2 linked regions of the Caenorhabditis elegans genome follow. The protein of the gene in region 1 purifies or fractionates together with the protein of each later gene. This does not show direct contact. Each region holds a gene or a part of one and is shown in the gene's direction. Other genes may lie near its edges.

Evidence for each region.
Region 2: the proteins of R107.2 (region 1) and paxt-1 fractionate together in Caenorhabditis elegans (co-fractionation; one large-scale study listed by BioGRID). This does not show direct contact.

What each region holds. Positions count from the first base shown.
Region 1 is NC_003281.10:9,044,114-9,048,037, reverse strand, and holds the start of R107.2 (ATP-dependent (S)-NAD(P)H-hydrate dehydratase), read left to right. Parts: upstream 1-2,099; 5' UTR 2,100-2,105; coding exon 2,106-2,156; intron 2,157-2,634; coding exon 2,635-2,958; intron 2,959-3,000; coding exon 3,001-3,244; intron 3,245-3,730; coding exon 3,731-3,827; intron 3,828-3,876; coding exon 3,877-3,924. Other genes in the region: ikke-1 (Inhibitor of nuclear factor kappa-B kinase epsilon subunit homolog 1), read left to right, coding at 1-195, 295-362, 1,453-1,540, 1,627-1,683. UniProt on the Caenorhabditis elegans protein: Catalyzes the dehydration of the S-form of NAD(P)HX at the expense of ATP, which is converted to ADP.
Region 2 is NC_003279.8:8,594,221-8,598,144, forward strand, and holds the start of paxt-1 (Partner of xrn-2 protein 1), read left to right. Parts: upstream 1-2,112; 5' UTR 2,113-2,117; coding exon 2,118-2,224; intron 2,225-2,733; coding exon 2,734-2,851; intron 2,852-2,899; coding exon 2,900-2,997; intron 2,998-3,045; coding exon 3,046-3,133; intron 3,134-3,181; coding exon 3,182-3,312; intron 3,313-3,359; coding exon 3,360-3,565; intron 3,566-3,924. Other genes in the region: R05D11.9 (Sphingomyelin phosphodiesterase 4), read left to right, coding at 1-173, 223-557, 894-1,087, 1,139-1,267, 1,322-1,479, 1,525-1,643, 1,692-1,850. UniProt on the Caenorhabditis elegans protein: Plays a role in maintenance of steady-state concentration and turnover of microRNAs (miRNA) by degradation of mature miRNA in complex with the exoribonuclease xrn-2.

The sequences.
Region 1 (3,924 bases):
TTGTTAAGACCCGAATTCCACGAGAGTCAAATTCGCATAAAGAAGACCACCAAATCGTGTAGGAAACTCATCGACCAACTAAACATAGAATTGGATCAACTCGGATTTGTTCGCTTAGGAGATATATTGATCAAAGCCGAATCGGAGCAGACACTTACAAGATCAGAAGAGATTCAAGAGACGCAGGTTGTAAGTGTGAGTATTTTATTGGGGTTATCAAAATAATCCTTTCGTTGCTCTAATATAATCGGCTTTTGATTAAACGTTTCATAATTTTCAATTAAATTTTATTAGTTTTTTTGCCAGGCGGAATCATCACCGAACAAAGAACAATTCCCTAAACCGGAGCAGGATTCCATTTTGTATGTCTCCTTTTTCTCATCAGACACTGCTTTTCCCAAATTAGTTCTGTATTTTTATGTCATACTAGTCTCCTACTTGCATAGATTAAAGTTTAGATGTAGTATGAGAGAGCAAGAGAGAGAGTGATCCCTGATTTTTTAGAACTAAAAAAATGGAGAGAATCTTCAAAAAGAAACGCAGAGAGAACGGAAACGAAGGAGGCGACAACGACGTTTGTCGGATTTGTTGCGAGAATGAAAGACAAGAGAAACGAGAAAAGAAAAGGAAATCTTCTGGCAGAAGACACTGATTTTCTAGACTTCCTCTTACTTTTTAACACTGCTCTCCATATTACAAGCCTTTCACATGTTTAGGTATACGTTTAAATGAGAAGTGGCCGATCAAAATTGTTTTGCGAATTTCAGAACGAAACATTTCAAAAATGAGTTCAAAACCTTCTTCTGGCGGTTCAAAATTTCGAAATTTCGATTTCGACAAAATGTCGACAAAAATAATTAATTTTTTAACTAAAATTTCCCCAATTTGCCAACTTTTACGCGCCATAACGGCCTGTAGTTTAATTTTATGTAATTATTGTCCCATTATGACATTTTTGTCAGTTATCTATAGTAATTTAGTTAATTTAGGTACAGAAAAAATGGCCAAAAAAAAGAAAATAAATAAAGTGATAATCAAATAAAAATCTGTTTCCGGCCGCTTTGATATGTCGATGTTTGAAAAATTGGAAATGTTAGTTAAAAATTCGGTTTCCTTTTCTGTAAATTTTGAACCGCCATAAAAAATTTTGGACAAATTTTTGAAAACGTCCGTTTCGAAATTCGGTCTTCTGGGTCATTTTGAATATAATAAAACAAAAATTGATCAGTTACTTTTCTGTTAGCTCTTAAGATGTAGCTAGATCGCATTCAATGAGAGTTACCCCTAATTTTTTGAGTTTTGAAGGTATGAAAATGGAATTCAATAGACTTATAATTTTTCAAAGTATTCACCATTTTTGGTGAATGAAAAAAAAATCACGTTAACTTTTAGATATTAAAAATTCAATTTCTCCAGTTCAAAAACATCTTGTATAAATCTATGTTTTTGTAGAGAGTCATCAATTGATGAAGGCTCAACTTCATTCGAATCAACACCACCATCGTCCCCTCCTGACGTTGGGTCTAACAACTATTTCCAAGTAAGCTTTTATTTCTCTTTTCTTTTCTCTTTTCTTTCTTCACTTTAATGCATCTCCTCTCCTTGTGCTCTACCTACATTTTGCAGGCCGTCTTTCAGTACTTTGCCAAGCCGACGTCTTCCCCTTCTTCTTCTGCGAAATAATTTCCTGTAAATACTCGTCCCGGTTTTTTTCCTGTTTTTCAATCAAACCTTCCAACCCTGTGCTATTGACGCCCGGAAATTTGAATTCCTTCAATCATTTTTTTTCTTACTTTTTCTCACCCCTCCACTCACACTCATTTACCCACATTGTTGTATCATCTTTTCAGTCTCTCCAAGTTGATTGCGAACACTTGTTTATATTTCCATCTAGTCTGTGTTATCTCGTTTTATATGTTCTCTATAACAGACGTGTATATAATGAATTACGAGGATTATCGCACCCTTCCTCTCACTGAATTGAAGCCATTTTTGTCTATCTTTTTTCGTTTTTTTAGAGAGGAATTGCCATCTTTTGATTTCTTTTTTTCGAAATAATTTTTGGTGCCAGTACATTGTTTTATTAATTTTTATTTCAGATTTCTATGGATCATTTTATCAAATTGTTGCCAAAATTGACACCGCATTTGAGAAAGGTTAGTTAAAGAAATAAAAAAAGAAGAATTTAATTAGGGATAGTAAAAAAGAGAAAAAAAAGTTGCAGTCCTGTAGTAAACAACAACTTTTTTGTGGCTCAATAAAAAAGTTTATGGATAGAACTTTTTTTTTCCTTTTTCGAAAATTAGGAAAACAACACTGAAAAGTAGAGTAGATAGAAAAGTTCAAATAGTCTGTAATCATCAAAATATGTATATTATCTAACTCAAAAAAATAACACTTAAAATAAAATAAAACTCACCTTCTCAAAACTAAAAAAAATAATTTAAAAACAATAAAAATTACAAAAACTGCTTGAAATTTGGCAAAATCGGTGAAAATAATTGAAAAAGTTATAATTTCTGGTTTTGCTTCCAATACCTAACAAGACCAAACGTCTTTGTCCACAGAGTACGATTGCACCTTGATTTAAAAAATTGTATTTCTCTGCATCTATACCTATACAGTCGTTTTCAGGGTGATTGCGGTAAAATGGGAGTAATTGGAGGATCTCTCGAATACACGGGTGCACCCTACTTTGCCGCTTCTTCAGCATCGCGACTAGGAGCTGATCTTATTCACATCTTCTGTGATCCAGATGCGGCTCAAGTTATTAAAGGATACTCTCCGGATCTGATTGTACATCCTGGAATGACGGCAAATTCTATTATTCCCAAACTTTCCCGAATGGATGCAATTGTGATTGGTCCTGGATTGGGACGAAATCCAAACATTTGGCCACTTATGCAGGAACTTTTCGAATTCGTCAGAAATAGAGATGTTCCATTTGTAATCGATGGGGTAAACTGAAATAGTTTGTATTTTTTACAAAGCATCTTTCAGGACGGTCTTTGGTTTGTGTCTGAGCATATTGAAAAATTCCCACGGCAAATGTCGGCTACAGTACTCACACCGAACATTGTTGAGTTCTCACGTCTGTGTAAATCGGCTCTTGGTGAAGAGGATGTGCTCAATGTGAGAAATAATAGCCAACTACAGCATTTGGCTGCCGAGTTGAGTCGGAAAATGAATGTTACGATCTATTTGAAGGGAGAAGTTGATCTAGTGGTCACCCCGAACGGCGAAGGTAAGGCCTAATCTACTTTAAGGTTGATCTTTTTCCTGCGAGAATGCTGAAAACTGAGTTTTTTTGACATCAAATCGGAACGAAACTGCTCTCCACGTACACATAAGAACGCTCCGCCCCTAAACGTTGGGTCTCGTTAGGTATTAACCGGCGAAACCAGGAATTCAAAAGTTTTCAAGAAGTTTTAGTTTTTTGTTAATTTTTTCGAAAGAAAAAAAGTTAAATTGCATAAAACGGAGAAAATCGACAAAAACAATTGAAAATGTTTGAATTCCTGGTTGTGCTGCAAAAACCTAACGAGACCCAAAGTTTGGGGGTGGAGCGTTTTGATTTGGTGTTGGAGCGCGCTTGCGCCTCGATTTCAAAAGGCGTTTTTTTTTAAATTAGAAAACTTGCAAAATATTATTATATTTTCAAACTACGAAAAGTAGAAAAAAAGAGTGATAACTGGAAAAAAACATTTTCATAATCTTCGGACTTTTTCAGTATCGAAGTGTTCAACCGAATCAAGCTTACGTCGCTGTGGTGGTCAAGGTGACGTCACTGCTGGAAGTTTGGGCCTTTTCTTGTATTGGGCAAAAAAGTGAGTTCCATAAAATTGGGACTCTACAACAAAACCCAAAAAGTTCCAGAAACCTTGGCGACGACTGGACATCAGCTCATCATGAAGCTGGAATTGC
Region 2 (3,924 bases), on another chromosome or scaffold:
ATATCTCCTGAAACAATTCCACGTGTTCTGTCAGTTCAGCACAGGCGATCCGGAAGTTGATAACTGGAAGTTGGATTTGATGGCTTCTGCTCCTTTCAGATTTTCGCTTTACGATTTCTTTAAAAGCTCCGTAACTCAAGTGCCTACAACCATAGTTTTTAGAGATATAACAAGTTGGTTTACTACTTTAAACTTTTTTCTCGTAATGTTAAATAATTTCAGTGTGCTGGCTTACTTATTGCCGTCCTTGGCGTTATCACAACATGTCAAATCCGTCGGATTTCGCTCCAGCGGCCAAATATCGTCAGTTCTTTGAGAAAAACGTGGAATTCTATGAAGTGATACTTGGCAAGATTCTCAAACGATTCTCGGCATTTGAAATGTGCGAGGAGCTTCTTGGATCACTGCGAGCTATCATAGAATTTGCATGGAAAGAGCCACAAACACTTCTGCTCCGTCATATCCAACTAGACATTCAACCACATTCTCTTGAACTGTTGAAACAAATGCAAGTGGTTGTTAGAATGCATCGGAGTGCGATTCAGAAAGAACAAGATGTTAGTTTTGAGCATTTCAAGATGAAACACTCACTTACAAAAAAGGCCTGTTGCGTGGGTCGACCCAATTTTTTTTTAGATCGGCCTGGTCGAGACCCCGGCCTCATTTTTTATTTGAAAAAAATTGTCAAAAACTAAAAAAAAATTTATATAAAAAGCTGAAAATTATCGTATTTTTTGCAAATTTGAAAGAAAAAACACCATTCGATATTAAAAAATCTTTAAATTCATCATTTAAACACGTTTTCCAACGAATGTTTTTCCAATTATTTTTTTCGAAAAATGGGTGGGCCCATCTCGGTCAATCTAAGAGAACTATGCAAATTATTTTTTCAGGAACACTCAGGATTCTGGAACTCTTTATTCTATAGTGGTGATTCGGCTAGAACACAGTCCAGTCGAAGACTTGTTAGCGAATTGTTAACACTAATGAAAGACAGCGATTCTTATGTTGGAACTCATTTTATGCCGGAAATGGAAGATTCTGTATTGGCAAATAGAACAGGGAATGAAACTTTTCATAAGGAAAAGTAAGAAAATACTGATTAAAACACTTTTTATTGATTGAAAAATTATTTCAGATTATACACATCACTTTTGAACGAAACACCAAAATCTGGTCTTGGAATACCTGATCATTTTGTTGATGGACCATCAAATCATATGCTGTTAACACCAATCGGACAACGACAAGTTTTGAATAGAGAAAAGTTAGTTTTAATTGTCTTTCGTTATATATTATCGTATTATATTATCTTTTGTAGACGTTTTGACTACTCCAATTGCATTAAAGATGATCCAAAAGCTCCAACAAGAAGCTACGAACTTGGGATTGCTGTTAAATTGACGACTTCTTTGGCTCAGAAGCTCAACGAACTTTCATTTGTTCAGAAAATTGGAGATCATTATTCACAACAAAGTGGTAAGTTGGAAATTATTGTTTTTTTTGTAATTCATGTTATTTCAGTAATTGGTGCAATTGCTCGTAAAGTAATGTATCCACCGGTGCCAAATCTAGATCCGAATGCAACAGTTCCAGCGTATTCAGCAAGAATTATACGATCACCTCCTTTGCTTCGTTTACGGGTAATTTAAAAGGGATTATCCGCCGATTTTAATTGGTTTTTTTTGCAGTATTTTGCCAGCTACCAGTCAATTTTCTTCATGATATGGCTACTATTCGCTCTGAAATACGGATTAACTTTTACAATTGTCTCTCTGATTCTCATCGCACTCTCGGTCACTGTACTCTTGTTCATTGAGCTCGATTCCGGGTCTTCATCATCTTACTGACACTTGTTTGTGATTTCTCTGCTCCACCACTGTCATCATCTCGTCTGTTTTTTTTTGTTTTCTGTCTGAATTTTAATCAAATCTTTTTAATTTATTTTTTTCTTCTAATCAAATTCTAGTTCGTTTCTTTTTTCATGGAGTAAACATTCAATCATAACGCGGCTTTCTTTCATAATCTATTTCAAGTTTAAATGTCAGCTTTAAAATATCTTACCGTTTCTATTTTTACGGAAATCCTATTGAAAAAATACTTTATTTTCAGAAATAATGGGGAAGTTAGAAGACGTGGAAGCTGAAAAGAAATTATGGGAGAGCGACGATGCGTGGGAGCTCCGAAAAGCATTCATGCTGGCACATTATGATGACTATCCGAAGTTTGTTTCAGCACTGGCCGACAATTCTGAAAAATGACTTATTGCACTATGTGCTCCAAATATTTTCATTAGAGTTCCAATATTTTCATTAAAAATTAGTGCCAAAATAAAGAAAATCACTTGATTTATCTTTAAAAAAAAATCATTTTATGCAGCTGAAATATTCAAAAAAGCTGTCAAAAATCACCTGAAAGCTACCAATCATCGAAAAAAATTGGAGTTTTTCATTCCTTTTTGAGCTCTTTTTTCGAATGTTTCAGTTAAAATTGATAATATTTTCAACTAAATCAAGTGAATTTCTATATTTTGAACATAATTTTTAATGAGAAGTGTTGGAAAAACATGGCGCAATACGTCATTTTGTAGAATTACCACCCATGCCTGATTTGTTTTGATTTCAAATTTTATAGATTTAAAAAATTAATGTTTCTAAATTGTGTTCTGGAAAAAAAAACATTAGTTTTATAATATCACACTTGTACTATTTCTAAAACAATTTTCAATTCCAGAATCCAACTTCAATGCCTCTCACAATTATTCATTAATGTAACACTTCTCGGATGTGAATATTCTCAGACTTTAATGCAAAAGATTCGAACAATGGGTGCTGGAATTGCTGCTAACAAAGTAAGTGATCTTCATTATTTAAAAATATATTTCAAATTTAATATTCAGGATCGTACAAAAACTGGAAGTTACGTGAAGGCATCTGCAGCGAAAAAGCGACAAGCAGTGAAGACATCAGATTTAGAAGGAGCTTCTGATGAGTCTAAGTAAAAAAAACTTTTCAAAAATTGCAATTTTCAATCTTTTTGTTCCAGAAAAGTAAAAATGGAAAAGTCTCCATCGCCAGTAGCTCGTGAATCTTTTGATGAACGTCTTGGAAAACTCAAGGCATCTCTTGCAATGGTGAACATTTCAGATTTAACTTTTAATCTTTTAATCTTTTAATTTCAGACACCTCACCATCTAACGGGCGAACAAATGATGAAAACTGCCACGAATAGTTGTCTCATGAAGTGGCACGTGAACAAGATTAACCAGAAAATTGAAATAACTATCGATCGATATGTGGCCTTCAGACATACGTTTGTATAAAAATCTTCGAAACTATTTGAATTTCATGTTCTTTCAGATTCTCCCAATACTGTGTTGATCCAAGGGATTGTGCAATCAATACTCTAATTGAAAGCATTCTTTCGTGTGACGCCGCTGTTCACGAAGAAAGCTACGAAATTAGATTTGATGGAGTTCCGGTGGACGAGTGTTACGCTAAATCAGTCACCAGAAGACTTGCAAAAATTAAATCAGCAGTTTCTAATGGTGCACATACAGTTAAAGGCGAGCTTTTTTCATTTAAAAAAACAGTATCACTAAATTGAATGAAACATTTGGTCTCAAAAGTAAGGATTATAAAAGTTGGAACAATATCTCTTCAAAAATCATTTTAGAAGTGGGATTGTTGAATTTGATTGCAAGCTCGTTTTATCAATTTTCGGCTGTAAACCCATTTTTATTAGCGGCAACACGTTTAAAAATTTTAAAATATTGCTTCCGGTACTTATGGATGCCGTTCCCTGAAACAATTATTTTTAGAAAATATATTTGAAAATTGGAAGAAAAAAACTCGAAAGTTTGTTACAGTACTCAATCCGAACGGCAATTGGAAAACAAATAATTTTGCCTTCTTTTGAAAAAAT